Arabidopsis thaliana: one gene and its partners. The protein of the gene in region 3 interacts with the protein of the main gene of each other region in a biochemical or structural test. Each region holds a gene or a part of one and is shown on either strand. Other genes may lie near its edges.

What was found.
Region 1: the proteins of HSP81-2 (region 3) and BES1 form a complex in vitro, tested with the Arabidopsis thaliana proteins (one study listed by BioGRID).
Region 2: the proteins of HSP81-2 (region 3) and TPR2 form a complex in vitro, tested with the Arabidopsis thaliana proteins (one study listed by BioGRID).
Region 4: the proteins of HSP81-2 (region 3) and TOC64-V form a complex in vitro, tested with the Arabidopsis thaliana proteins (one study listed by BioGRID).

What each region holds. Positions count from the first base shown.
Region 1 is NC_003070.9:6,685,582-6,691,390, reverse strand, and holds BES1 (Brassinosteroid signaling positive regulator (BZR1) family protein), read right to left. Parts: upstream 2,857-5,809; 5' UTR 2,712-2,856; coding exon 2,653-2,711; exon of another isoform or gene 2,558-2,652; coding exon 2,287-2,557; intron 1,970-2,286; coding exon 1,226-1,969; 3' UTR 980-1,225; downstream 1-979. Other genes in the region: RRA3 (Nucleotide-diphospho-sugar transferase family protein), read left to right, coding at 1-719; AT1G19340 (Methyltransferase MT-A70 family protein), read right to left, coding at 4,593-4,732, 4,872-4,971, 5,057-5,146, 5,240-5,417, 5,506-5,581, 5,740-5,773. UniProt on the Arabidopsis thaliana protein: Positive regulator of brassinosteroid (BR) signaling. Transcription factor that activates target gene expression by binding specifically to the DNA sequence 5'-CANNTG-3'(E box) through its N-terminal domain.
Region 2 is NC_003074.8:5,729,181-5,738,616, reverse strand, and holds TPR2 (TOPLESS-related 2), read right to left. Parts: upstream 7,099-9,436; 5' UTR 6,909-7,098; coding exon 6,829-6,908; intron 6,744-6,828; coding exon 6,564-6,743; intron 6,485-6,563; coding exon 6,371-6,484; intron 6,283-6,370; coding exon 6,124-6,282; intron 6,041-6,123; coding exon 5,863-6,040; intron 5,774-5,862; coding exon 5,641-5,773; intron 5,505-5,640; coding exon 5,389-5,504; intron 5,265-5,388; coding exon 5,132-5,264; intron 5,050-5,131; coding exon 4,940-5,049; intron 4,761-4,939; coding exon 4,691-4,760; intron 4,588-4,690; coding exon 4,517-4,587; intron 4,433-4,516; coding exon 4,337-4,432; intron 4,269-4,336; coding exon 4,176-4,268; intron 4,090-4,175; coding exon 3,962-4,089; intron 3,835-3,961; coding exon 3,600-3,834; intron 3,496-3,599; coding exon 3,337-3,495; intron 3,241-3,336; coding exon 3,145-3,240; intron 3,044-3,144; coding exon 2,894-3,043; intron 2,798-2,893; coding exon 2,687-2,797; intron 2,565-2,686; and 13 more. Other genes in the region: AT3G16840 (P-loop containing nucleoside triphosphate hydrolases superfamily protein), read left to right, coding at 1-136, 358-439, 539-597. UniProt on the Arabidopsis thaliana protein: Transcriptional corepressor. Negative regulator of jasmonate responses.
Region 3 is NC_003076.8:22,684,028-22,690,607, reverse strand, and holds HSP81-2 (heat shock protein 81-2), read right to left. Parts: upstream 3,777-6,580; 5' UTR 3,686-3,776; coding exon 3,476-3,685; intron 3,258-3,475; coding exon 3,116-3,257; intron 3,010-3,115; coding exon 1,175-3,009; 3' UTR 1,137-1,174; downstream 1-1,136. Other genes in the region: AT5G56020 (Got1/Sft2-like vescicle transport protein family), read right to left, coding at 4,402-4,512, 4,989-5,093, 5,202-5,460, 5,805-6,022. UniProt on the Arabidopsis thaliana protein: Molecular chaperone. Involved in RPM1-mediated resistance. Component of the RPM1/RAR1/SGT1 complex. May stabilize RPM1 and protect it from SGT1-mediated degradation. Associates with RAR1 which may function as co-chaperone. Possesses ATPase activity.
Region 4 is NC_003076.8:2,926,076-2,933,802, reverse strand, and holds TOC64-V (translocon at the outer membrane of chloroplasts 64-V), read right to left. Parts: upstream 5,631-7,727; 5' UTR 5,488-5,630; coding exon 5,246-5,487; intron 5,042-5,245; coding exon 4,889-5,041; intron 4,800-4,888; coding exon 4,675-4,799; intron 4,585-4,674; coding exon 4,459-4,584; intron 4,351-4,458; coding exon 4,168-4,350; intron 4,085-4,167; coding exon 3,940-4,084; intron 3,757-3,939; coding exon 3,588-3,756; intron 3,417-3,587; coding exon 3,279-3,416; intron 3,171-3,278; coding exon 2,970-3,170; intron 2,860-2,969; coding exon 2,732-2,859; intron 2,653-2,731; coding exon 2,601-2,652; intron 2,347-2,600; coding exon 2,277-2,346; intron 2,133-2,276; coding exon 2,053-2,132; 3' UTR 1,782-2,052; downstream 1-1,781. Other genes in the region: AT5G09430 (alpha/beta-Hydrolases superfamily protein), read right to left, coding at 441-558, 641-708, 801-893, 985-1,641; EICBP.B (ethylene induced calmodulin binding protein), read right to left, coding at 6,512-6,634, 6,707-7,051, 7,151-7,727. UniProt on the Arabidopsis thaliana protein: Chaperone receptor mediating Hsp90-dependent protein targeting to mitochondria.

The DNA of each region.
Region 1 (5,809 bases), on a different chromosome or scaffold from region 3:
CTTTGGACGATTACATAGAGAATTTATGTAAAGAGAACGATGTTGCGTATTACAAGAGAGATCCAGACAAGGACGTGGATACTGTTGGGAAAACTGGAGGTAACCATGCTGTCTCTGGATTGAAATTCCGTGTGTTAAGAGAGTTCTTGCAACTCGGTTATGGTGTTCTTCTCTCGGATGTGGACATTGTCTTCTTGCAGAACCCATTTAGTCATCTATACAGAGACTCTGATGTGGAGTCAATGAGTGATGGCCATGACAATCATACGGCTTATGGGTTCAATGATGTGTTTGATGAACCAGCCATGGGATGGGCTCGGTATGCTCACACTATGAGGATATGGGTTTTCAATTCCGGGTTTTTCTATTTGAGGCCTACAATTCCATCAATCGAGCTGCTTGATCGCGTGGCAGATAGACTCTCTAAGGCTAAAGTGTGGGACCAAGCGGTTTTCAACGAGGAACTGTTTTATCCTTCACATCCTGAGTACACTGCGCTACATGCATCCAAGAGAGTCATGGATATGTATGAGTTTATGAACAGTAAGGTCCTTTTCAAGACTGTAAGAAAGAATCATGAACTGAAGAAGAAAGTGAAACCAGTGATTGTTCATGTGAATTACCATCCAGATAAGCTCAATAGAATGCAAGCCGTCGTTGAGTTCTACGTTAACGGTAAGCAAGACGCGCTTGATAGCTTCCCCGATGGTTCTGAATGATTCACCTGAAAAGCAGATAGGCTAAAAAAAACTTTCCGAGTTTCTTGACATTTGTGATTCTAATATATTTCTCCCTTTTCCAATGTTTACTGCTTCATGCCTTCTACTTTCCTCTTTGTATTATGAATTTTTGTGTATCTTATGGCTAAAATCGCAAGTCTTTTTTTTCTTTCTTAACCTCTCTGATCTTGTTATTACATCCCAAGTCTTTGTTTTAGCCTCACTTGTTTTTCTCTGTTTCATCATCCGATATATAATTTACATTTCAAGCCACTTAATCATGTAATATATTTGTAATGTTTTCAAGACCTAAAAGGAATGATAATAGAAACATACATCTTAAACATTCTATCTACAAATAATGCGTTGTGAAACAAACTCACTGGTACAATGAATATCGATTCTAGAACAAGAACCAAAACCATGAACTGAATGAACAACACACTAATTCTCATTCTCCAATCCTTCCTTCCGACATGACATAACAGGTTCATGTATACTTCATCTCAACTATGAGCTTTACCATTTCCAAGCGTGAGCTCTAGATCCTCCATAGCCACATCATGGATCCTCTCCCCTTCCCATGGCTTAACTTGGCTGTTCTCAAACTTAAACTCGGAGCTTTGACCAATCTCTTGGATTGCTGCTGTGTTTGGAGACAATTGCTGTGGTGCAGGTTTCACGAGATTGAAGGTAGGCGAGGTTGGCACCATAGAGGCAGAGAATGGCTGTTGTTGTGCAAACTTTTGAAAGCTTATCCAATGACCAGAATCAACAGTGGAAGAGTCAGACTCATCACATTCAGGTATAGTAGCCGGAGCATGGAACTGGCGATGATGAGTAGGACTGGCAGGTGCAGACACCGCATAAAACGGGTAGTTCAAAGAAGTCATTGACTGTTTAGCAGCCATGGACATGGATTGTTTGGTAAAAGATTCCCAAGTAGGCAATGGTTTGGGGTTTCTAGAAGTTGGGGATGACACTGGTGGAGTGACAGGAGCACTGTTTGAGATTCTAAGTGGAGGAAGCGATGAAGGAATACCACCATTCCTGAGGAAAGGGAAGATTGTGGAGATATTGTGTGGATCACCAACTCGAGAAGGACTCGGGAATGAAGAAGAGGAAGGACTGACTTGGTAAGATAAGATGGGGCTATCAAAAGTGGAAGAAAGAGGACTTTGGTTATGGGAAGAGTAAGGAGTTGCTCGAGAAGATGATCCAGCCATGTCACCAGGTAGAGGCTTGTGTCCCTGTTGCTCATAGAACAATACCAAAAACATCACAATGTCACAATCAATCAAAAGCTAAAGGAGAGATCTAAATATAGTAACCAAGTGAAAGTAAAGCTAATTCGGTTCTCAAATTAGTAAGAAGAACCCTAAAGGTCACTTTCTCCGCAAGGAATCTCGATCCAATTTTAGAATAAAACTGAGCTTCCTCAGCTAAAAACCTCGAATTCATAGCCAAGAAAATCCCAATTTGACCAATTTCAAATCCAAATCTTCAGATTCAACAGCTAAATCATCAGATAACATCAGATCTAAGTAAAAATGCGTTTGATACTGACCTTGCGATAAGTAGTTCCGTCTTCTTCAACAACCCAACCAGCTTCAGAACAAAGAGCCTTAAGAACCTCATTGTTGTCACAATGTTTTGGAAGATTGTAGTTACCTTGAGCTCTAAGACCAGTATAAATCTTCGCCGCAACAGCTCTTCTCCGCCGCTCTCTTCTCCGATTGTTCTCCCTCTCTCTCCACGACGGTTTCCTCCTCGTCGCCATCGCTGCTGCTGCAGCTGCAGCTGACGTCGACGTTGCTCCGTCAGACGTCATCTTCTTCCTTCAACTCTCAAAACAATCCAACCACGGTTAAAAATGGAAATGGGTATTTGGATTCAGCTGAAGAAGAAGAATGAGTGAGAAGTTAGTGCTCACGAGGAATACGCTTTTTTTTTTCTTTCTTCTTCGCTGGAATTATAGAAGAATCTTTTCATTCATTATTTAAAATAAAAAAGCAAAAAGAATTCACCGTTGATTTGAGTTAAACCAGCCACGTGTCGATGATGAATGGTGAGGATAGGTGGTGGTGTACGTAACTTACAGTGTGGTTTCGCGTTTTGAAGAAGAAGTACGTTTTATGTTGTGTTTCTCTAAATCTGTGTAAGAAAAGGAGCTGATTTTATAAAGAGGAGAAAAAGATAGAGAGACATGTGGGGCCATTGTAATGAAGTGGGTCCTACACGAGTATGACCGGAAAACACACCATCTGATTGGTTTATGAGGGGATCGGCCATGTTAAATAAGAAAACAAATTGTTTTGAGCCTCATAACATTTAATGATTAGATTAATTTGTCACTATAGTATATGGATAAAAATAAAATAGTGTTTCACTATAGTATGAATAGAAGAAAATGAGTGCTTACTTTTGTCCTGACTGTTTATGTATCATGTGTTTATTCTTTAATTTTATCACATTACAAAATTATTTAGTAGATTATTTGTGAAAACGAATATACGTAAAATGGAGTGATACATGGTTTAGATTAAAAGTTAACTAAATAAACCCTTTATGAAATAGTATGGTTTTTTAGCCTTTACTTTCTATCGTATACGAGGCAACAAACTATAAAGACTCAATACATATGAGGGGAGACACTACGTACAACTAGTAAAATACCAAACCGACGGATTATATAGATTTCCAAAGAGAACTCGAGTGGAGAAGCATGGACGTGTTTGGATGTATAATTGGTATATTCAATTGTACTTTCGTAATACTTATCAACATTTTGAACTAGAAGCTCCGATCTTAGTGACAACTTGCGTTTGATAACACATGCTGATATAGTGATTCACTACTACATTTGAGATGGATTGTGTATATCAACATGACGGATGGTCAAGTTTCCGAACCAAGTTGTCTGAAAGCGAAGTTTAAGTCCTAAATTAAGTATTTGACAGTGTAGTTTGTTCATTCTATACTCGTGATATGCATTTTGTTGCGATGGTTTTGGTTTATTATTTCTTCCACTTGATGTTTTTCTTGAATAGTGGATGGAAATCGTGATTTCACAAAACTGTGTGATTGATAAAACAAAACATTCTACATCATTCTACTACTTCAAAATTTACTAAAGAGAGTCGAAAATGGAAATGTGAGGATATTCACACAACATTATTAAGTCAAACTGGAAAGCTCTATATTTGGAAATATCGTTAATTTTGTTTTGTGATTTGTAAGCATATTGTTTGATTGCTATAACAATCAGAGCCTATAATTCGGAATTATTGTTGGGACCTGCTCTTCATTGGTCATGATGATTTTCTTTAATTCTCATGTTTTTTTTTTTTTGACAATTGTATAGTTCATTGAACACAAAAGGAAAACTGGATAGTGGATTTGCCCCACAAATAGACCCATCAAAGCAGATATGATCTTCCAACGAGTAGTCACTTATTGAATTTATATTTAACACGCTTTTGCCTTTATTTTATTCATATTTTGTTGAAAAAGAAAAAGAAATCTAGTGAATAGCAGAATAGTGATACTAATATAGTATGTAATCTTACTGTACTGATAATATATTTAAATTTTATCTGAAACATCATCTGTTTATGAAAGGAAAAGGAAAAAGCTTACTAAATTGATGGTACAGTTCTGAGACAAAATAATCTTTAGTAACACTATACTTTTTTCAGGCTTACTCTAGTGTTGTCTTCTTCAAACGATGTCGTTTGCGATGAACCGAACCTTCCACTTCTTTCCAAGGGTTCTCTCCTAACTGTCCCCAGCTTGAGAATGAGTCATAGAGAAAAACGATCATGAGGGCCCAAGCCAGCCTTTTTCTTGGTTACACCCTAGGGAATGCGCCCACTAAACTTTCAAAAAGTATCTCGAGTCCTGAAAGTGAAGCGGTTCGTTTCCCCAAGAGGTCCATCCGGCAGCCATTTCCCTCGCAAATAGCTCAAGGCACCGAGCAGGTTGAGACCCGGGAGTGTGTTTCAGTAGTATATCTACACAAAGTCCAAGTGGAAACAAACAAGAATCAGGGGAGCTTTAGACCAAGAATTTGAAAAAATTGCATTATCTACTCTTGAATTTGATGAAGCCAATCGCAGAACAAAGCTGTTGAAAATATAAACATAAGAATACCTCCAATTGGGGGTTTCCTCGAAAAATCACCAGGGATGCTCATGATTATCTGGTTCTTGTCCAAGAGTTTAAAATCTGACCTCTTTTCTGATCCTGCAAGCTATGACATGTATACACAACATGGCTGTTCAAACAGAAGTTCCTTTCTCAGATTATTCAAGTGACAAAAAAATGAATTGACTTACTTCGGTAAAATGGTAGCCTAGTAGAAGGTACTCATAAGGTTTATGATGGACCAGGTCCAGGTCGCAAATCAGTGTACCATCCGGTTTCACCTGAAACATTTACATAGCAAGTATGTAAAATGTCAAGTCATATGTGCAACTCAGAAACCAAGATGGGGACTGAGAGCTGCAAGATGAGCTCACCTTTAACCAATACATTGTAGCTACATACTTAATTCCCCACGCAGGGAATAGCTCTTTCTCAACAAAACTTAGTAATTTCTCTCTATTTGTCACCCACAAAGCCACGAGAGCTCCTTCAGCATGAGCAAGCTGCTTGATCGGAAGAGATAAGAAGTATTGGTTCGGTAAAGTAGGATACCTAAAACAAAGAACCAAGAAACATTGGTCATGAACTTTCAGATACAAAAAATACTTATCCACATGCATACATTAAGTAGATAACGAACTTTGATTTCTGATGAGCACTTGCATTTTCCCAAGGCGGATCAATAACTATAAGATTGTAGCCTTCTTCAGATTTAGCTGCATATATGACATCAATAAGACTATTACATCGCCTACCGATATGATAATGACTGATCTTTTCTCACATGACTCAGGACCAATCAACAAGAACCAGAATACTCTAAAATCTCAGCTTTTAGCAAATTATCTATAATGGACAATAGCACAAGACTTACCAGGAACGAGGTTTCGGATGTGATGTAAATCAGACTTCAAGGCAACATGGTAAAAAGAACTGTAATATCA
Region 2 (9,436 bases), on a different chromosome or scaffold from region 3:
GAATCAGTTTGTAGAGTTAAAGAAGCAAAAACAAGCACAAATGCAAATTGGTGGAGATATAAAGAGAAGAAAACTTGTTGTCATTAACCAGAACTGCATCGAACCTCTTCAAGCCCTTCGTGCTGGTGGTAACGAGGTACTTAGTTTTCGACTCTCTCCTGTACCCCAATATTATTTCAAATCACCTATTCAGCTTGACCTTGATGACCCATCACCATGATTGGAAATATGTGTTGGGTGTTTTTTTTGGATAATCTTTCCTTTAAAATTCAATCTTTCTTAGTTGCTGAGACGGTGTGAACTATATTACCAGTTTGCATGACCATATCTGATGAATGATGTTGTCGCTTTGTTCAGATGCTGAAAATGAAAGGTCAGAGTGCAGAGAAGAGGCGCGATATAGCGAGCTTGAAAAAGAAAAGAAAGGAAGAGAAGATAGGTATATATTTATATAAGTCTGATCTTATTGATAACTTGCTTTCACTGATGTGTCCTTCCTTAAACAGATGTTTATGATCTTGCGTTGTCCATCTTTCAGGTCGGCGTGATCAACGAAGGAACCAGAAGAAACAGAGAAAACTAATGGCTTCTTCTTAATTACGTCTGGCTTTTTCCAAATTTTGTTTGTCAAATCAGATTTTGACATTATTATAAGAGTTATAAACCATCAATTGTAAAACTAGTGTACGTCACTTCTTTTTATTTTTTAAAGAACGGTTTAATCTCCTAAATCTTTGATCAACTAGCTCATGTCATTATTATAATTTAGTTTAGGGGATATTTAGATGAAACTCATTTCAACATTGGCCACAAACGAAATATGAATATGTTGGACAAATCAGACGGCCGAAATATAAACGCGTAAATCGCAAATTTTTGACAAATCCATAGATTTAAGAGCTACTACATTCAAGAGTATAGCCATCTTAAAACTGTTAAAACGCCGAAAAATATAAAATAAACTGTTATTGCGCCTACTGATTTAATTTGAGAATCTCATTTACAAAAACAGCACAAGCTATCACAACTTTACAATCCAAAATAACAAGAGATATGTCAACTAACTTAACTGACATAAACTATTTTTACCTTTGAATCTGATCCGAACTTGAGTTGTTAGCCGCTGATGAACTAGACGGCCGTCCATTTTCAGTCCCTGCTTTATCTGAACCAGCTGCGACGCCAACACCCCATCTTCTAGAAAGTTCTGATGGCTCAATCACTTTAACCGAACCATCAGACAGTCCAACCGCTAATTGATTCGGTTCTTGTGGATGAGCTGTGATCACCTGTGGGAAAATCGGTGCACTATCACAGAAGAAAAAGAAAGCATAATCAGTCCCAAAAAATCACAATGGTCAGATGGATGATATAAACTTTATATGAAGTTTGTAAAATACGGTACCTGTTTGGTGTAGGTTGAGGCATGTAGGCTGATGGGGCAATGCGGCATCTGAGTCTCAAGGATTCAGCATCAAAGACTGCAATGTTTCCATCAGCGAATGACGCGTAAACCAGTTGGCTGTTGCATGAGTAAGATGCAGAGGTTATGGGCGAAGAGAGAGCTTCTTGGGGCACCCACTGCACAAGGAATGAGAATTTAAGGTTTCTTATAATCATTCAAGATCTCCAAGTAAATACAAAGATTTTTTACGATACCTTATGAATGCATTCCATCTTCGAAGCATCGTAAATGGCGAGCTGTGTCTCATGTGAAACCAATAACTGGATTTGGTCGTTGTGGAATTGGACTCGTGTGTCGCCTACTGGTGCTTTGCCAGGTGGTAGCTGTATCGCTGAAGATTTCTTTTTCTCCCACGAGTCAGCGGTCCAGAAGAAGAGCTGTAATAAAGAGAGTTAACGAGTCTGTTAAGTTACAAGCCAACATGGACACGAAAAGCTCCAATAGCATCTAAGAAACATGAATTTTGTCTTACCTGAGCATCGGCACCAGAAGAGACAAGAATATTGAGCGCGGTAGAGAATGCTAGACCAGTTATGTGCTTCTGGTGACCTTTCAACTTTGTTTTCACCTATAGATTAAAAGAGATTACATTACAAATTCATTTAAGAGATGAATCAGCAGTTACACCAGTAAAAACCAGTAGACCGCAGAATAGAACAAATGTACTATACCTCATCTACCCTGACGTTGTAAATATGTATACTCGAGTCCTCCATCCCGATTGCAATAATATTATTATCTTGAGGATGAAATGCCAAGAAAGTTGAAGCTGGTGGCGGTGGCATGAAAGTTGTCATTACCTGCACGAAAGGGAAAAATGCATTTAGCTTCGCATATTACTCAAATAGTTTCATTAGCTCCTGAGGTATCAGTATTTAGGAGATGCTCCCGAGAACAGAAAAAGTTGGATTAAGCTGCTTACTTTGAAAGTCATCATATTGAATAACGAAACCTTTCCACCACAAGCTGACATTACGTATGAGTCATTCTTGGAAAGTGCTATACACGGAACACTCCCTTCAGGATTCTCGGGAACATCATTTGCCATTAGGAGACCGCTGTTTGGCTGCCAATGCTGTGGAGTTACACTAGCAGTTGCCTTCACAATAAAAGGACAAAATTTCAGACACTTATGCAAGAGAGCTTCAAACAAGTGACTCAACAACTCACATATATCAACAAACCACATGAGTGTAAAATTTGAAAGGTACAACGAATCACCTTCCCAGTTGGATTTTGCTCATTGCGGATCCACTTCCATAGTCTTTGAACACCATTTGATCCAAGAGCCAAAACACCAACGCCAGAATTTGTGTAAAGAAGCCGAGCAACCTTAAGGATTGACATAGCAGCAAAAGATTATTTCAAGATAATTATTAATGAAACAGAACAATTGATGGGCAATTTCAAGCTAAGACGGTAACAAACCTTGCTAACAGAGTCCTTGCTATCTGGCATTGTCACTTGTCGGCACTGAGTCGGATCAACAATTTCTGTGAGCTCTAAAGGTTTAGACTTATCAACAGAGTCCAAGTTTCTTGGCTTTTCCATAGTTCTTGACATTGCCTCAATTCCATTCTGCATAACACCAACAGAGACCACATATAAGGATTCTTATTGAAATAGGAAAAAATATATATATATATATTGAAAAAGATATACTAAAATTTAAATCATACAGGAATTGGGGTTGGCCTTGCAGGAGAGCCTGCGTCCATGTGTTCAATTTTACCAATAGCGGGGCTGATGCTTGAAGCCATTGCGGAGGTGGATACCTGAATCACCGGTATTGACACTCGAGTTAAACTGGACATAAGGCATGAGTAATAAAAATATTTCATGGATAACATAAAGAGTAATTATTCCAAGACCTTCATATCAATGGATGCTTTAGATGCTTCAAAAGACCGCGCTTCAAATGCTCTTAAGGTTCTGAGACCATCAGTATTTGCAAGGATCTTGAATCCATTATCTGCTGTAGTAACTGCAAGAAGATTCCCATCCTTGTTGAATCTCAATCGGGGTAGATTCTGAAATAAACGGTACATAGCATCAGTAAAGTAACAGGCTCGAGAATACAAAAGATTTTATATACAAGTAGCCAAGAGGAGTATTTTGGGCAAGAATGTCATACCGGAAGTCCACCTTCAGCCTCAACAACTGTCAAAAGATTTGTATTGTCCATGTTCCAGAATTTTATTTGATTGTCTTCACCAACAGCCAAGAAACGGTTACGGGTTGTATCAAACTGAACAACTCCAGCTGATTTCTTCCTAAAGCCTAAATATGTCCTCTTTAGGGCACCTTCACTCTCATTCCACTCGACGAGGAAAGAGTCTCCTTCTTTACTCGTCCCACAAGAAAATAGTCTGAAATCATAGCAGATATTTACTTGATAATGATATGAGCCTATATTTTGTTCAGAAGATTTCAATTTATGGCAGAGACATAATTTTGTTATACAACTCCAGAGCTTTTCAAATAACAATGATGTACCTGCTTCCATCAGCACTGTAGAGCATTGTTGTACACCACTGTCCCGGTGCGTCATAATCAACCCGAGAACCAACATTATCATAGAGCCACGCCTTGATCTTTCCATCAAGAGCGGTTGAGAATATAAACTGCATAGTAAAAAAAGAGAAAAATAAATTACAAGACAGCGAAAGGGAAAGTTTTTCAGGTCTTTTTAAACAAGAGATGCCTGCACCTGAATATTTTCCTTCTGGTGAGGGCAAATGGAATAAACTGGTGCCTCGTGCCCTTCAAAGGTGAAGAGCTTCTTCCCACTCAAATCCCACACCTAGGAAATATCATAATTAGACACGGGATAATAAAACTGAGTTCAGAGTCATCATAATCCTAACGTACCTTAATCAATTTGTCATCCCCACAAGTCACAACACACATTTGCTTATTTGGGTGGGCGAACGCCAAGTCATTCACACAGCCTACATGAGCATCAATCTAATCCACAGAAACAGATGATCGATTAAGTTTGGTGCAGATGCAAAGGCAAGAAACTAAGTACGAAAAGACAATTAAACATACCTCGAGGTGTTGACGTAGGTCTGAGCCTTGGTAAGCATATACATGGATCAGATGTTTAGTAAAAGAAACCCCTGTACATGGAAAATGTTACAAAGTTCAAACTTCGTGTCTACTTGAAATTACAACTATATATCTTTAAAACGTTTTTAGGAGAACAATCTCCATCTACCATACCAAGCAAGTTTCCATCTGGGCTCCATGCTACACGAGTGACGGATATCGATGGCTCTTTGACTATAGAACCCTGGCGAGAAAATGCCCGCACAACAAAATCATAGTTTATTAGCTTAGTTTTAAAGTATAGGATAGAACAGAACAGAACATAAATCACTCAAGGCTGGATTAGCTTAGTGTTAAAGTATGTTTCTAGATAATTTATCTTTATCAAGAAAATAAGTAAAAACGATGGAAGAAGAGAGAAACCTGGAAGATCACAGAACAAGCCGCCATATTCCATATCTTGAAAGGTTCTGTGACAACCTTTTCTCTGGATCCAACTTCCCACAAGGTGACTTCGCCGCTTGAACAACCAACTACGAGTAACAGACATATTATAACAAGAGCCAAATAAAAATCTCAACTCTACTAAGCTTTTCATGGTAGCAATGGACTAACCAGCGAGCAAAGTGTGATGAGAAGGGTGAAAATCCATGCTTATCACCACCGACCCTTGGCGAATTGTACTCACTACATTTCTAGGGAGGTCATCAAGTGACGCAGGGGGATGAGAATGAGCAGGATATGTGACCTGTGATTTGAAAAGTAGAGCCATCTACTCAACATCAAAGCGCACATTCCAAAAGCAACAAGAGTTTTGTTTGCTAGGTAAGCACTAAGCGTTTCAAAAACAAGGAAAACCTGAAGGCAATTACCTCGTTGGATGTTTGTGCAGACCGTAAGCGTTTCATGAGTTGCTCGTGATCAGCACTTTGATAATCCATTAATCCTAGAGAGTTAGACGGTGCCCGAGGGTGTTTCAGCTCATTAACTGTTGAGACGAAATACAGCAATAGAACTTCAGGTCTTAAAATTCATTTCCTAAAAACTCTAATATCACAAGTAAGAAAAAAAAACGAAAGATACCATAATATCCAGACACTTGTAAGTTGTGACATAAATTATACCTTGACTTGGCTGCATAGGAAATGGGGAAGCAGCGACAACACCAGATGGAACTGATGAAGAAGGATTTGGGTTTGCCATCCATCCAGCTAAAGCATTGGCATTAGGAGCCGGAGCAGGATTAGATTGAAAGGGCTGCACAGATACAGTTGTTTCATCAACCCTCAAAATATGAACATTAAGTTATATAATAGAATGGGTGGAAGTTAAGTAAGTGATCCTACTCCACCATGCACTCCAAGAGGAACAAAGTTTGAAGGTCTTGCAACAGCAGCAACTGGAAGATTGACAGGAGTGAGTGCACGAGCACCGTTTGATGGTGAGCAAGAGTGATCCAAGAACAATGTCTTGATGTCAGGATTAGGCCTTGGATTTTTACATAGCTGATGCTGCCAGTTTAAGCTGCAATGTCCCAAACACACTTGTCATACACTTTAACTAATCTCTATAAAAAAAGGAAAGAATTATGACTCCTCCTAGTTCACCTTTGATTGATCAAAGTTCGCAGGCGAGAAGCTTTGAAACTGGGGAAGGCTAGCTTCTCTCGAAACAGAGGATTCGCCTCAATCAATTTCTTCAACTCAGTATACATTATAGACCTTGCAGATTTAGTATCACCATATTTCGACAGTTGCTCATTTTCCCTAAGAAAAAAACACACTCTTCAACATTATCGTAACCACCTACCAAAACTTCAATAATATCAATGGCAAAGTAAAAAAAAAAAGAAACCTAAAATTCTCCAGAGTAAGCAGCTGAGTAATCTCCTTGTAAAGCTCCTCGTTAAATGTAGCGAAAACTTTCAAGTCTTTGGCTAATATCTCAACAGCTTTTGCTCTGTCATTTCTGTAATAAAAACACACAAATGTATCAAATCAACAACACTAGTCTAAATATCCGACCAAACAAGAAGAGAAATCATTACCGATCTAGAGCTTCGAGATACTTTTGCTTCCTAATCTCAAAGAAGATTTTCATAGAGTAACGATTATCATCGACTTTAGTGAAACCAGAAAGATACTTCTCCACTTCATCCCACTCTCCAGCAAGAGCTTTCTCTTCAAAGTACTTAATGTTAAAGAAGAAGCCAGATTCTTGCTCTAGCCTACACATCAACCAATTCCAAATTATACCCAAAATTACGCAGAGAAACCAAACAAGCACACAAAAACGACAAAGCACAAACTTACTTGTGAACAGATTCCTTGAACTTCTCCTCATCTAAGAACTGGAGAATTAAGAAAACTAACTCTCTGCTCAAAGACGACATTTTTTCCTAAAACTCTCAGAAGAAGAAATTCAAGGAATTTAAGCGATCTGGGTTTATCGTGAAAGAAGGGTAGGTCAAAGTTTGCGAAATCGATTTAGTCGTAGTTGAGAATGAGTTTTCTAGGGTTTCAAGGTTGCATTTCCTCGCGTCGCAAAGCGAACATTAAGAAAAAGCTGACCCCAGAGATGCTACAAAATTTCTATTTATATTTTTTCATTTAATAAAAAAGGAAAAAGATAAAGAAAAAAGTACGACTTGTTCTCCACTTTCTTCGATGCGTTTTGTCACACAGACTGTAGTTTGATAAGTTAACTAACTTATCATTGATAAGTGCTTTCGTTGTCGTATAAGTTGATAACCTCGTTTGGTTAAACTGTTTGGTCTGATCCCTTAGCTTAGGGTTTTTATCTGATGCGGGTGAGCCCACCGAAAGCAGATGTGGGATCTCAGAGTATTCTCCGTATCTGAATTGTATTGACACTTGTCGCGCTTGTGATGCATTTTTAGGTGGGGGTGCAAAGTAGTGGATTATAAACCCTTAGGTGGGTTACGTCACGCGGATTCGAAAAATGGAATTGAAGTGAATTGAGCAGAGTTTTACTGGCGTCCGCCACATGTTGTTGCCTTGTTAGGGGGAATGACGTGGTCTCGATATCTGCGTCTATCTCGTAGAAGTTTTCGTCAGAGCGTGAGAAATACGAGATACTTGCTCAGCTAGAGATTCTCGTAATAATATTAGTTGAGAGCGACTGCTAATGGCTGCGACCAAATCCAGCCAATAATTCTTTGTTTGATCGATATTATAATTAGTCTAATTAAATTATGTACGCAATGCCATAAACAAAACATATGAACATATTTTAAAAAACATTTAAAGTGTGACTGATGGATCATCTTAGTTTTTTTTTTTTTAAGTAATGATTTTCATAGTGTTATAAACATCTAAGAGAATTCATCATCAATTAACAAATCTAAGAGAATTCAAGTCCTAACAATACTATTGGTCAAAAAGTTCATGATTATGTTTTCTCCTATGTTTTTGGAGCATATGAGGATAACTAGAAAAAACAAGGTTACTGTAACCATTTTTATGTATATAACAAGACAGAAAAGAAACTTGAAATTTAATTACACAAACTCTCTAATGTTTCCACATGGTGCTAATCATTTGTTTTTGCTATACGATCAAATACAAAAAATGTATTGGTCCCACATTAAGAGGCCGACTTGATAACTGAAGCCCAGGTTTAGCCCAGTGAGTTGTGTCTTCAATTGCTGTTACATATATAGCCGGAAGGTACGAAAAGAGTTGTAGAAGCTTTGACCTAACTTGGAGATGAGAGATTCAACAATGGCGATGTCCGATCTTCCCCGAGATTTGGAAGAGGAAGTGCTCTCTAGGGTCCCGTTAGCATCTCTTAGAGCAGTGCGAACTAATTAATCGAATATGGTTGCCTCGCTCTTGACATAATAATGGTTTGATCATTAATTTGTATGTCAGACCATTATTATTCACTTAGTATGTAATCTCTCGTTGGCTCTTCCAATATTTTTTTGAAACAGCCGAATACATCTTAGACACTTTTTTCCTTAGAAGCTCTCTTTAGCATTGCTATTTAGATGAAAATAAAGAAGTTCTGTATTGTCCATGATACAATTGTTGTTCTCTTTGCATATGAAAAACAAAAAAATGACTTTATAACATGTTTGTGTAACACATGAGCTTGAAAGCAAAGGAAATAGATGCTTTTTACCAGCTACCAGAATTGATATGTCCACTCTCTTTAAATCAACATATCGGGTCCGATTGGTGACCTATAAATGAATACAAGGAATGAAGAAGAACATGACTAAAAAAGAACAAACAGGAAAAGAAAAAATGATAAAATAGGAATGAAAAGGAATGGATATAAAGGAAAAATAGAACAAATGTTACTGTAAATGATAACCAAAACATAGAATAAATAGTAACAAAAATTAAAAAATAAATAAATTATTTTTCAAATTAAATATTAAATATAAAACGAACATAAATTTAATTTTTATTTAATAAATATTTAATTTTTTTTCCTGTTTGTTCCTCATCAAATTTGGGAAGGAAAAATTTTCTTCTACCATTCCTCAAAAAATAAAGAATGATTAGGAATATTGTGGGGTCTACATATTACAATTTGGAAAAAAAATACTAATGATGGTGAAAAAAAGAGGAACAACATGTTGTTCCTGTGCATTCATTTTCTAAATAATGGTCACTAATAGGACCCATCGTATGATCAATTAATGAGATTCGCTAAAAAAAGTCCACTATTGAAAATCATATGTCAAATTATTTAAATTAAAAAAGCAATTCAAGGAAATTCAAGATATCAAACATAATAAAATCTATATCTTAAGTTAACTCAGAAAATATAAATTTTCTGTTGCATACCACCGGGTGTGCCCTAGCTAGGCAGAGAAAAGAAAAGAGTTTTATTTTTTTTGTTTCACTGCTAAAGGTAACTTGATTTGTAGTATGACATATAACATAT
Region 3 (6,580 bases):
CTCTAATTAAAGTCTAAAAATAAAATAAAGTACATCAATAATTGTTTACATCAAATGCCTCAAATTAACTTTATATGAATTCTGAATGAGTATATTGCTAGTCTAAAATTTTCCCAAATATGAATACATGCTTGGGTATATATGATGCTTTAGAAAGTTCAGTTTAGCTAACTGTAAATTAGGTGAGTATAATCGTTAAATATTAGCTGAAATCATGGTAATCACTCAGTTTACTCCTATATACAAAATACTGAACAATAATAATTTGGTAAGAAAATAGGAAGGTGCCAAAAAAAAAAGAAAAAAAAAAGAGAGGAAAATACGACTATTGAAAAGAAATTACATAAGTTAATCAATAGGCTCCGTTGTCTTAACCTAACATAGCCTTTGCTTTTAAGTTTTAACTAAAGACTAAAGAGTTTCACTTGCACTAACGCCAAGTTCGTGGTATTATATAATAAGTCTCCACTAACGGTCAAATTTTGAGAGCAAAAGCAGTGTGGGGTTTCCCTTAATTAATTTTGATTACATTAATAAATTAAGGCTTTTTTTTTTTGGGACAAAATAATAAATTTAGGCTTAATCTTGCATTATTGGGTGATCTTTTGTATCAAAAAAGCCAGTCTCTAATATTGACGAGTCTTTTTGACTGATGGGTCGATTTTAAGGCCCAAAGTATTCAACAACGGACATTTTGGGCCCATCTAAAAATTTGATTGACCATTTGTTTGCACTTTGCAGCAAGAGATTGGCAATTGGCAGCGTAGTTTTTTTTTTTTTTAGTGAAAACATTTCAATTTAACTGTGGCAACTTTTCTAATTCGGATGCAATATAATTCACAGCAAGATATGTATGCCAGAAGATATGATCTCTGTGTTATTCTATTTTCTTATAATTTGTTATTCTAAATTCTAATTAGGAAGATATAATCATAACTAGGTTACTACTAATACCCTGACAAAATTCAGCTTGGATATGTAAGAATCAGTCTCTTGAGCATAATAGAATCTTTGTCATAAAACCGAGTTCAGAGAAATATCTTCACAACAATAAAACCATAGAAAAAATTCGTGAAGATAATCACCAAAATAACATAAGTTTTAACGAAAAGAAAAAAAGAAAACCATAGTCTTATAACACCGCTAATAATTTAGTCGACTTTTGTGTGATAAATTAGTCGACTTCCTCCATCTTGCTACCTTCGGCATCAGCATCGTCTTCAAGGGGAGGCATCTCAGCATCGGCTTCAACAGCATCATCGTCATCAATGCTCAGTCCAAGCTTCAGCATCCTGTGGATCCTGCTTCCGAAAGTGTTTGGCTCATCAAGGCTGAAACCAGAAGTGAGAAGAGCGGTCTCAAAGAGGAGAAGCACAAGGTCCTTCACAGACTTGTCGTTCTTGTCTGCGTCAGCTCGCTTTCTCAACTCATCCATGATGGAGTTCTCTGGATTAATCTCCATTGTCTTCTTACTCGACATGTAACCAGCCATGCTGCTGTCTCTCAAGGCTTGAGCTTTCATGATCCTCTCCATGTTTGCAGTCCAGCCGTATTCGCCGGTTACAAGACAGCACGGTGAGTCCACAACACGGTCAGAAACAATAACCTTCTCGACCTTGTCACCCAAAACGTCTTTGATCACTTTGCAGAGTCCTTCAAACTTCTCCTTGAGCTCTTCTTTCTTCTTCTTTTCATCTTCGGTCTCATCCAGTTTCAGACCTTCCTTGGTTGCAGAAACAAGTTTCTTTCCCTCGAATTCCTTAAGCTGACCAATAGCGTACTCATCAATCGCATCAACCATGTAGAGAACTTCAATACCTTTCTTCTTGAGCTTCTCAAGGAATGGAGAGTTCTCAACAGCCTTCTTGCTCTCACCAGTGATGTAGAAGATATCGTTCTGACCTTCCTTCATCCTTGTCACGTAGTCCTTGAGACTAGTCAATTCATCACCGCTCTTGGTTGAGTGGTAACGGAGCAACTCAGCAATCTTGGTTCTGTTTTGGGAGTCCTCATGGATACCGAGCTTCAGGTTCTTAGAGAAAGCCTCGTAGAACTTGTTGTAGTCTTCCTTGTTCTCAGCAATCTCAAAGAAGAGCTCAAGGCACTTCTTCACAAGGTTCTTGCGGATGACCTTGAGGATCTTGTTCTGCTGCAATGTCTCTCTCGAGATGTTGAGAGGAAGATCTTCAGAGTCGACAATACCTTTCACAAATCCGAGGTACTCAGGGATGATGTCTTCACAGTTGTCCATGATGAAGACACGACGGACATAGAGCTTGATGTTGTTGGGCTTCTTCTTAGTGTCAAAGAGATCAAAAGGAGCTCTCTTGGGAACAAAGAGGATAGCTTTGAACTCAAGCTGTCCTTCAACAGAGAAATGCTTCACAGCCAAATGCTCCTCCCAATCATTGCTGAGACTCTTGTAGAAAGCAGCGTACTCCTCCTTGTTGATCTCCTCTGGCTTCCTCATCCAGATAGGCTTCTGCTTGTTCACCAAATCCCACTCATGAGAAACCTCCTTAATCTTCTTCTTTTTCTTCTCCTCCTTTTCTTTCTCCTCATCAACTTCCTCAACCTTGCCTTCCTCATCCTTCTTCTCTTCCTCCTCTTCATCATCAGAGATCTCCTTCTCAATGGTCTTCTCAATCCAGAGAGAGATTGGGTAGCTGATGAACTCAGAGTGCTTCTTCACCAAATCCTTAAGCCTTCGCTCCTCAAGGTACTCCAACTGGTCTTCCTTGAGGTAAAGAACCATCTTTGTTCCTCTACCAAGAGTCTCCCCAGAGGTGTCTCTGGTCACAGTGAAAGATCCCCCGGCCTGAGACTCCCACACGTACTGCTCATCGTCATTGTGCTTGGTAGTAACAACAACCTTGTCAGCAACCAAGTAAGCAGAGTAGAAACCAACACCAAACTGACCAATCATGCTAACATCAGCTCCAGCAGCCAGTGCTTCCATGAATTCCTTGGTTCCAGATCTTGCAATTGTTCCAAGGTTGTTGACCAAATCTAATAGAAGAAGCACGAATTAGCCAACAAAACAAACACAGATGCAAGACTAACAAACAACAACAAAATCGAAACAAATTGATTTAGGATGAAATCAATTACGTACCAGCCTTGGTCATGCCAATACCACTATCAATAATGGTCAAGGTGTTGTTAGTCTTGTCGGGAATGATGTGAATGAAGAGCTCAGGCTGACCATCGAGCTTGCTCTTGTCCGTCAAGGACTCGAATCTAATCTTGTCCAAAGCCTGTTTTCACCAGAATAGAATCACAATCGTAAGCAAACAATACACATAATATGTATGCAAATCAACTATAAGCAATCGAAAACTTGGTAATCTAACAAGAAACTACTTAAATCCTTGGTATCAACACTAAACCTAAACAATAGATTTGTACACAAAAAGCTTCGCAACTTCAGTAAGTAACCAAAATTCTCCCAACGGAAAGAACACTAAACCCTAACCAAACCTAAATCTACAGATCCATCCGCCAAATCAATCAAACGAGATACACAAGTATACAATAAGGTAGAGAGAGATAGAGATCGTACATCAGAAGAGTTACTGATGAGTTCACGGAGGAAGATCTCCTTGTTAGAGTAAAAGGTATTGATGATGAGGGAAAGCAACTGGTTGATCTCAGCTTGGAAAGCAAAGGTTTCAGCGTCCGCCATTGTCGTAGATCGGAAAAAATCGAAGAACTAGGGTTTAAGAATGAAATTGAGAGAACAAAATTATCTTGAGAGCAGAGAGAAGTACTGATGCGGGATTTAGGAGAAGGATGTTATTATATATAGAGTGGTGTGGGAACCTCCATAAGGGTTTCTTTTCCTTTTTTTTTCTTTCTTCTAGATCGTTCTTTTTCCTTTATTTTGTTTGAACTAACTTGCAAGTTTTTCTAGATCCTTCTCCAAGCAGTGATGTTTTTGACTGATGGGGGCCATTTTAAGGCCCAACGTATCCAATAACAGACATTTTGGGCCCAACTAAAAAAGATTTGATTGACCACTTGTCTGCAATTTGCAGTAAGAGATGTATGCCACATTGCCAGTGTAGTAAACTCAGTGAAAACATACGTGTAATAACTTTCTTAATTCTGATGTAATAATTCACAGTAAGACATTGAAGCTAACGACTTACCCTAGATTAGAGAATGTATCCACCAAGCAACTCTTCAAGTTCCATACCTCATCCAGTGGCTAGTGATTTGAAGTTTTGAACCAATTTAGCAGAAAGTATCAATATAGGAAATTTATAACAAAACTGTCTTTGAGCCATTGGACCAACATATTTTACCAGATTTGTCATTTAACCACTGTTGAAGATCTTTCATCTTTCTTTATACACGAGAGAATCAAGTTATTTTCTTTGCATAGGTCAAAGCGAAAGCTCATCTCCCAAACATTCGGAAGACAGAGGAGGTAAGAGTAGAACTGAGGAACTTCATTCCCGATGATCCACCAGGGAAATATGATATACAGTAGTACGCCAGTGCAATAACCTATGGATTCACAGAGAACAGAGACCAGGTTTTTTATGAGATTACTATACTTACAGAATGTGCAGATACGTGACTAATCTTTAAACCGACATGAAGGATATGATTTAGTGAGTTCTTAAAGTATATATTCCATATCGATAACGGGTGAGTAATAATATATCAAAGCTGTTTCTGTCGCAAGTAAGTGCATTTGCAAAAACAAGCCAAGAGACCAACCAAAGATATGGCGTTCAAGGCTTCTTCATAATTCATACTAACCCAACTTGTATTTTAAAACAGCAATAAGAAAGTCTACATGTTTTTTACTAAACACATTATGTTTCGACGAGGCAAGAGCTTACTAGATGAAACATGCAGGGTAAAAAAGAACTTCATAGGTAAGATTTGTGAAATGGGGAAGAGGAAAATTTTAACATATGAAAAACAGAGGATATAAACACCAACAAGAGTCGGGAAGGAAGATGAAATTTAAGTACCTGTAATGCAGAGAAAATCACAGAGAGAATGTAGCTATGGAGCACCATCGAGACATATATGGTGCCAACCATGGTGGCAATGAAACCTAAAGTTAGTGGAAGCCTCTGGAGAAGCCAGCAAACAAGAAATTAAAATTCCAAAGAGAAAAATGTAAACGAAATACAGCAGATATAAGAAGCTGCACAACACAAGGTTTTGTTATTAGTTATTACCTCTGCCGATGACATGTGAGCGAGTTGATTTTGCGGGCCACGAAGAGCGAAGAAAGATCCGATGATAAATCCACATCCAAGGGTAAAACAAATTGCAAACTTCTGTGGCATAAGCACCATGACTGGAAGAAACATGGTGAAGGCAATGAAGATGAAGAATACACCACTTGCTAGAAGTAAACCGAAATACATCAAAGCTTTTCCTGAAGGCATACTACTTGTTGCAGACTGCAGGTTATCTCTAACTCCTTTCGAAACACTGTTAACAATCCAGATTTGAGTACAACAAAATTCAAAATCAAAAAGTTAGTAACACTTCAAGAAAAAGATATGCTTAAGACTCTTAATCAATTCTAAGTCATTGAGAGAAGACACTAATCAAAATCATTCACTAACAATAGCTTCAAACCCTGAGAATTTGTAAATCTGATCAACGAATCTGGCAAAGCTTAAACTATATGGTTAATCACAATTTCTCAGATTCCAGATTTAATTTACACCAATCCAATCCTCAATAGCAGGCGAAAACGCCTAATTTCTCAGATACGGTCACGATCAATCGTTAAACCCCTAAAGATTAAGAGAAAGAGATGGATGGATTACACATTAAAGGTGCCGGAAACAGTGTCGTTGGCAGATCTAACGGCGGATTCGATATCGAAGCCTAAAGTTCCGGTGTCTTCTTCAAAATCTCTCGATGCTGCGTAAGAATTCCAATCAGCTAGCAGAGACGTTCCTCCTGTTTGCAGCGGTTGCTGCTGCTGATCTCCGCTGCTACTAGTGCCGCTCATCGGAAACCATCCTTTGGCCATTTTCTCCATTTCGTTGGGAATTTTTGGAGCTGAGAAATCAAAATATAGCTGAATACCGACGATCAGTGGTTTACGTCGGAGCTAAGGAAATCGGCAGACGTCAAATCGAGCGTTGATGAAGATTCTGTCAAGGGACCGTCGTCTTAAACGGCAGTGTTATTTTGCGTTGCACTACTCATATTCTAATCGTAAAAGTTATTTAAAAAAATAATAATAACCTTTAAAACTGACCAAAAAATTGTTACACAAATTATCCTTTTTAATCAAAGTAGTAACAACATTTGTGCAGAAAATTAACGCTAAGTCAAACAGTAACAACAGTATTATGTCGAACAATAAATTATTTATTATTGTAAAGAATATGTAAGCTGTGTTGTCTGAGATGCTTAACAATATGATTTGGAGCTGCTTCATGTATTTTATTAGCCATATTAGTCATACTAATAACTTAGTTATAGGCTACATAACCAAAATAAGCTTGGATTTGCAAGATTGTGCATAAGAGAACCTTTGTCATCAAACCGAATTCAGAGAAAAAATCTTCACGAAAACAAGCGATAGAAGAAA
Region 4 (7,727 bases), about 20 Mb from region 3:
ATTGGAATCTTCTCAATATATATAATTCGACCTTCACATTGTACAACAAATTTAGACGATAGTCGATAGGGGAGCCACATAAAATTGGACCATGCAAAGAACTGTATATAATTTTATTTAAACTCAATTTTTTTTTTTTGTTTTCAATATTCTAACTTCCTTTATCAAAGCCCACCAATCAAAACAAAGGCCAGCTAAAATAGGCCTTTTAATTGTTATTGCCTTATTGGATATTTTTGTTGTAGATTGTATAACTCAGGCTCTGCAGTTGTCAAGTTCTATCTGGCGTGGATAAAATAATCGTATTTGTGATCTAACAGCTAACATAATTTCCTAATAGACAGTTGATGTTTTAAGCTTTTAGACAAGAAAGAAAGATCACCTATATATTGAAGAATAGTGTAAAAATAAAAATGGTTGATATTATAGGAAAAAGTAATTCACAAAGAGTCAATGAGAAAAGATTTCAAATGCTTGACAAATTCCTTGGACTTCTCCAAATTCACAGCATGTCCTGCTTTCTTGATCACCACTATCTCTGCACTCTCTCCTATATGTCTGTTTCACCATACAATTATTATAAACACATAAAAAAATACAGAGGGTAATCTCTATAGTTAATATACATGTTGTTGTTTACCTTTTTAATCTGTAACCTAGTTCCAGTGGAAATATTTGATCTTCTTCTCCCCATATGATCAACGATTTCTAATTCAACCAATAAACACACACATACACACAATGTTATAGGAACTGCGAAATTTACATAAGCAAATTAAAATCCGAATAAAGGTTTGTACCTGTTTGATCCTAGGAAGATCAGAAAGTCTCCTATCTTTGAGTATTGATTTGATCAAATCTCTCTTCTCCTCTACAAACTCCGTACACATTACCTTTTCAACATTTTGAACAACATTTCTCAAAACTCCAACATTTATCAACAAACAAACAAACAAAGACATTATTATAAAGGAAAAAACTTACATCGATAAAATCCCAGAGAAAAAACGAAGGAACACCTTTGATTGGTTTAACGAAAGAGAATCTTATGAGTTCCTTAAGCTTTTCCGGCGTCTGAGGAATCAAAATTCCGGTAGCTTCTTCTAGATTCGGCACCTTAAACAATCCGTCCTCCATATCTTTCTCCTCCAAACAAACCCCTGCGCAGCACAGCACAAGCTTCTCAACGTTCTCCGGAAACTGCGCCGCTAAACTATACCCAACGAATCCACCGTAACTAATCCCGACGATGTTCATCCTCTGGACTCCGTGCGCTTCCATTAACCTCATCAGACACCGAGCCTGGAAAGATTCGGTTCGGTTTGGTTCCGATGTGGATGATAACCCGAAGAAGAGGAGATCGGGAACGTAGACGTTGAATCGGCCGGTGAAAGCTCGGAGATGTTCTCCGTATTGCCACATTGCGTTGGCGCCGAATCCGTGGAGGAGGAGGAGATTAGGTTTAGATCGATTCGGGGATTTAGGAATCCAACAATGCATAGCTGTTGATGCGATTGAATTGCCGTGGGAGAGATCTGTCGTTACGGAACGTAGACCGGCGTTTGCGAATGATTGCCGGAATAACCAATCTCGCGACGCCGTGAAGCTGAAGCATCGCAGCAGTTTCATATGATCAAACATTTTTGATTCGAATAATTCAAAAATGAAACAGAGGAGAAGATACGGAGGCGTGACGATGACGAAGAGGAAAAAAACAAACAACGAATTCAGTTATTTGTCGAGAAATTGATTGTAAACGTGTCATTTATGGGTCCCTCCGTGTAATTTAAGGAATTACAGTATTGGACTTGGGGGAAATTGTAATTTACGTAAAAGACCGTTAAGAAAACAAAGAAGCTAAAAGGACCCCATAAAACTTTTCAGATCAAGTAATTAGAGGTAGAAGTTTTCATCCCAATCTGTACACATGTCACAAAACCACTAAATTATTAGTCTGTTGAAACCGGAGCAAAACCTTTCCTTTTTAGGGTTTTAGATAAGTGAAAAGATAGATTGGTGAACAAGAGAAATCGAGTAATAATCCTTTTTAACTCATATGTGTTTTCGGAGTCTCTTCTCAGCAACCTTTGCCGTCTTGTTCTGTGGTTCAAGGACCAATGCGTGCCTGAAATCTGCAGAGATGATCAACCATAATGTTACGCTCCAATACCCTACTAGAGAGAGTAACTCATCTGGATAGCTAGATGAATTTTATCTTTTAACAAGTTTCTCCAATGTGATAAAATTACAATCTCAGAGTAGTTTAATCATCATACCTGCAGCAGCTTCCTTGTACCGTACAAGTGATTCTCTAGCAGTCCCTCGTCTCAAATATGCCTTCACATTCTGTAGAAACAAATAACTATTATAAGAATCAAAGCTTCCAAATAATGCGTCATTGTGTCTATAGTGAGTGATCTGAGTGATAATGAAACTAGATAGTCATAGTACAAAGGTATTACGCCGCAAATCAAATAAATAAAAAGTGAATAGTTTTGTTCCAGCTCAAGTGTACTTAAACACAAAACCATGTTAAAAACACAATGTAACAAAACAAACTACGAGGGATGGAGAAATAAGGCAGCTAATCAAGTTTTCACCTTCTTATCGATCAACATGGCCTTGGTACAATCTTGTTCGGCTTGTTGGAAGCTATAAACAAACTCTCAGATCAGAAAATCATAATAAATTATATTCAGATCAGAATGAAAGATATGAAGAGAACAATTACCAGCAAAGTTCCAAGAAAGCTGCAGCTCTATTGCAATAATAAGTAGCATTTGCTCCATTCAATTTTATAGCTTCTGTATAAAAGTTTACCGCCTTATTCCATTGTTTCCCCTTGTATGCAGCATTGCCCTGGAATTACATTTTATCCACTGTTAACTTTGAGAACATTCCAACTCCAGTAGCATATCATGGATCAGAACCAAATATACTATTTGTCAAACTCAAAGAGATAGTTTTACCTTTTCTTTCATAACTTCAGAAGCCTCCATGTTACCATTGGTGTCAGACACTGGAGCTAAGTTGGATGCAAGTTTGGCTTGGTCTTGAAGGGATGCATATACATCGAGAGTTGTATCGAGAAGGAACTTATCACCTCCATAGTAAGTAAGAAGCGACACGGATATTGGACGATCACCATGTTCCCCTAAAGGAATTGTAACCTGAAGAATATGTATATATTTGTGTCATGACTAAAGACTGAAGAGTAAGGAAAAGGCAACAAGAATGTTCCCCAACCATTGAATGAGAAAGAGGAGATGGAAATATACCTGACAACATCCAGACATGCTTGCAATGCAGGAGAGTGCATAAGTACGATCAAGAAACTCATTCAAAGATTTATTTCTCTTTGTGTTAAGCCTTGGAGGGGGATCAGCAACTGTGGGGATTACCAGAATTCCATCTTCCTAGTAATAAGATACCGATCTATGGTTAATCATAATACCATAGAACTAAAAAGAAGCCGCAAAAATGAAAGTTAATAATTCAATCTCTTCAGACTTCAGTGTTTTGGTGGCAAAATGTCCTCAAGACACTAATGGCTGTGAAAATTTTAAATTTCCAAAAATCGAGTTTACCTTTAAAAGGCTTTGAATGGTGGCCCGCATCTCATTTTTCACTCTGTAGAGGGATTTAATGCTCTCGTTTTTGCTCTTCAGAGCTGTAACAACATCATTGGAAAATCTTGGCCCTAGAAACGATTTGCATGTTTGCCACCATTCTTCATGATTTGTTTTGAACTCATGCCTGGTAAAAAGAAAATCCTTTCTTCTTCGATATTTGCATATAATACAACTTAAGAAGAAAATAGTAACCTCCAGCAAAGAGGGAATAACAACAATCTTTTATTGCACCCGTTTAAAAGGAACGAGAGAGAGAAAAAAGTATTGATGCAGTGAAAATTTCAAGAAGTGTGAGCTTCTTAAATACCTTTGTATAGCCAACATCACAGATGAAAGAGCCCTTAAAGTTGATGCTGAATTTTGGGATTTCCCAGATTGCTCACAGAATTCCGCAAGACTTGGTACATTTGAAGCGACATATTGGCCAACGTTAACATGTTTTGGAGTCTTGTCTGCATGAGCCAGTGGTCAAGAGACATAAGATATGAATCTGGAGAAGGGCAAAGAGAAGGAAACAATACAGCTGCAAACTTACAGCCAGATAGATTCTCGATTGCCTTTCTGACAACTTGCACCGACTTTTGCTTAGGAATGTCAGAGAGCTCGAATAAATCATCAGCAAAGATTAAAGATCTTTGCCTTCTATGTGTTACTGCACTCAGATTTAGTAAGGCATGTCCAACTTGACACAAAACGGATGGATCAGAGGCAAACCATCCTACAGAACGAATCAATGAGTTCAATAATCAGGAAGGCAAACACCTAGAGTAGCATGTACCATTGAAACTACACTAAAAACACTAAAAGGGAGGGGAATGTAACGTACCAACAGTCTCTAGGCTCTGAGAATTGGGCAAAACTCCAACTGAAGAAACAGTCCCCTGAGATGGTCGAAAACCAAGAATACCACAAAAGGCTGCTGGGACTCTAACACCACCAGTGGTATCAATCCCTGCAAATCAAGCATCTTTTGATTAGCATAAAGAACCAAACGTAATCCAAGAAACACATTACCAAGAGAAAACGAAGAGATTAACAATACCAAGTGAAAAGTCAACGAGTTCAGCCCCAACAGAAACTGCTGAGCCACTGGAACATCCTCCAGGAACATTATCTGGCATCAATGGATTAATAGGAGTTCCATAGTGCTTGTTTTCTCCAATAATCCTGTAAAATCACATTCAAAACACAAACTTTCTTCAAACCAACTACCGAAAGGTCATTTCATATGCAGAATGGTAGGAGTGGAGAGATACCCAAAACCCAGCTCATCCATTATAGTCTTGCCAACACAAGTAGCTCCATTTTTCAAGAGCGTCGTGACAACCACAGCAGTTTTCTCAGCAGCCTCATGAGTCTTCTTCCATTGTGGACAACCAAATCCTGTGATATAATCCTTAACATCGAACCTGTCAAACCATTAACCCCGATATAACTTTATTCATTTCATTGCAACATGACTTCGTCTAAGCAAGTCAAAATCTCAATTAAACCAAACAAAAGTTTTGAACTTTATAAGCGAGATCATTATATAAAGCAGGAAAAAACAAATTTGAAAATAGGTTATGATTTTTAAGAGAGAGAGAGAGAGAGAGAGAGAGAGAGATACATACGCGTCGGAGATGGAGAAGGTAAGACCAGAGAGAGATTGTTTAGCAGCAGGAGGAGGAGGCGGAGGGAAAGGAAGAAGCTCGAAACGATCTAAGAAAGCACCAAAGTCTTCTTCTCTAAGGGCTCTAATCCGCCGCTTCCGGGTCTCCGCCAGAATCACGATCCCGGCCACCGTCACGCCGATCACTACCCAAACTTTGGGATTCGAGGCATTGCTTTGAATCAAAGAAAGCGTATTCGACATAACGCGATCTCACGAGAAAGAGAGAGAGAGAGAGAGAGAGACAAGGGTTTTAGGAGGGTTTAAGAGAGAAAAGGGGAAAGAAAAATAGGAGAGAGATTTGGAAGAAGCAAACACAGATGCTATCGTGCGCACTGTGTCTAAACCCTTTTAATTACGAGTGATGACTTGGCCAGCCGTGAACTCAAGTCCGTCTGCCCAAGGCGAATCTTCTCTTTTTGATTGATTAATAATTGTCTTTACGAAATCGATAAAGAAATTAAAAAAAAAAATTAAATTAAGAAAAATGGAAATTTTAATTTTAATTCCTTTATTTATTAGAATTACTCGTTTCAATTTTTTTTAATAAGCTTGTACAAATTGATTTAGGTTTATAATTTCTTTTGTTGGCCATTTCTTCTCTTAATGAACTTTTCCACTCGTGGAAAAATAGATTTTAAGCTAGTCAAGCCACTAAAAACCTCAATATAATAATGAAAAAATTAAAATATATACTGCTATAATTTATTGTTAAGTTTCCATTTTCTGTAGCCTTGCCCGTCAATCCAATTTTATCTTCAGATTATAGGAAAATCCAAGTTAAGTTTTTTTTATAGCTTTAATGGTTTACCAATCCAAATTTGGTAGATAAAATGGCATGTCGACCCGGATTTATAACCTTTAAAAGTTAGCTCAATATCATACTACCATTCAAATTTAAACTATAACAATATGACTGATGTATGAGTTTGACCAAAACAAATATGATGTATAAATTGCAGAAAACAGCTAATAAAGAGAAGAATATTCAATACGGATACAAATATGAATCAGAGTAATCCAACACTTGGCTATATAATATTAGCAGAGAAAAGCCAAATGAACAAATAAAAAAGTTATATATTGTTAAGACGAAAGAAAATAGTGAATAATTCTATTTCAATCCAAGTAATAAATTAAGCGGTAAATATCAACTATGGTATTTACAGAGAAGAAATAAAGTTAGAAAGTAAAAGAAGGAAAAATGAATACGAGTCAGAAAGTAAAATCAAGGAGAAATAGACATCATCAATGTGTCATCGTTCAAAAGAGACTCAATGTCAATAAAATCGTCTTCTTCACAGTTGACTGCTTCTTCTTCTTTATTGTTTATAGATGCACTTGATGAAGCCTGCAACAACAATTTATCACAAGAATGCTCAACAAAATATGATTAACTGATTATGTTATGGGTCTTGGGTACCTCATTTTCACGGAAGCCCTCAACAACCGTTAGGAGTCTACGGTATTGATCCCGTGCTTCTGGGTATTGAACCATCGACTTAACACGAGTCAGAGCCTTCTGTAGCCTTTCCTCTGTTTGTTTTCTTCCCTCTTTAAGATAATCATACTCATCTTCCTGTGGGATCCTAGGACATATAGCTGATACAGGCGGTTCCGGTTCCACGGTTTTGGCGACTGCATTGCGTTTAAACCCTCTCAAACCATTACCTTTGCGTCTCCAACGCAAAATGATTTTCTCGAGTAATCCCACAGACCAGATGACTGTTCGGTATTGTTTCCGGACCTGATGTCCTCTCACATGAGCCTAAAGGTAAATGTAATATGATTCCAGCAATGAGAAACCAGACAAAAGACTTATGCAAAGAAATAAGGGGGAGAAAAAAAAACTCAATGAAAGGCAAACCTGAATTTTAACGATTCTTTGTCGGATTAAAAGAAACTCTTTTCTCTTCTTCCAACCACGATATTTCTTCTGGATATGGGTAGCAGCACAACTAAGAGAGACATCACCCTGTCCTGGATTCTTAGTTTTAGAAGCTGCAAAAGAAACAGCTAACTGGTCGGAGATATCAATCTTTTCATCATCGCCAATATCACACAGCTGTTTCCGTTGGAATGATTGCATCCTGAATACTTGATGGAGACGATCAGCCGCTTGCGTAGCATTACGGACAGCAGTAAGTGAATCCTTCAAGGAAAGTTTCTCTGGTACATCGCCATAGGTCATAGGAGCAGCGGTTCGCTCAGAGACTGTTTGAACAGCTTTTTCTCCACAAGAGTTGGCAGGGCTATTTTCCTTTGAGTCCACTGTTAGCTTTTCAAGATAACTAGTTAAGGAAGACTCTGCAAGAAATCCCGAAATTCCCCTGTGTCCATTTGCGTAAGCCAAATCAGCTGCTGTTTTACCCAATGGAAGCTCTGGAGATGGATCCGTTAATGCCCCAGCATCAGCACCTAGAGAGACAAGCACAGCGACAGTT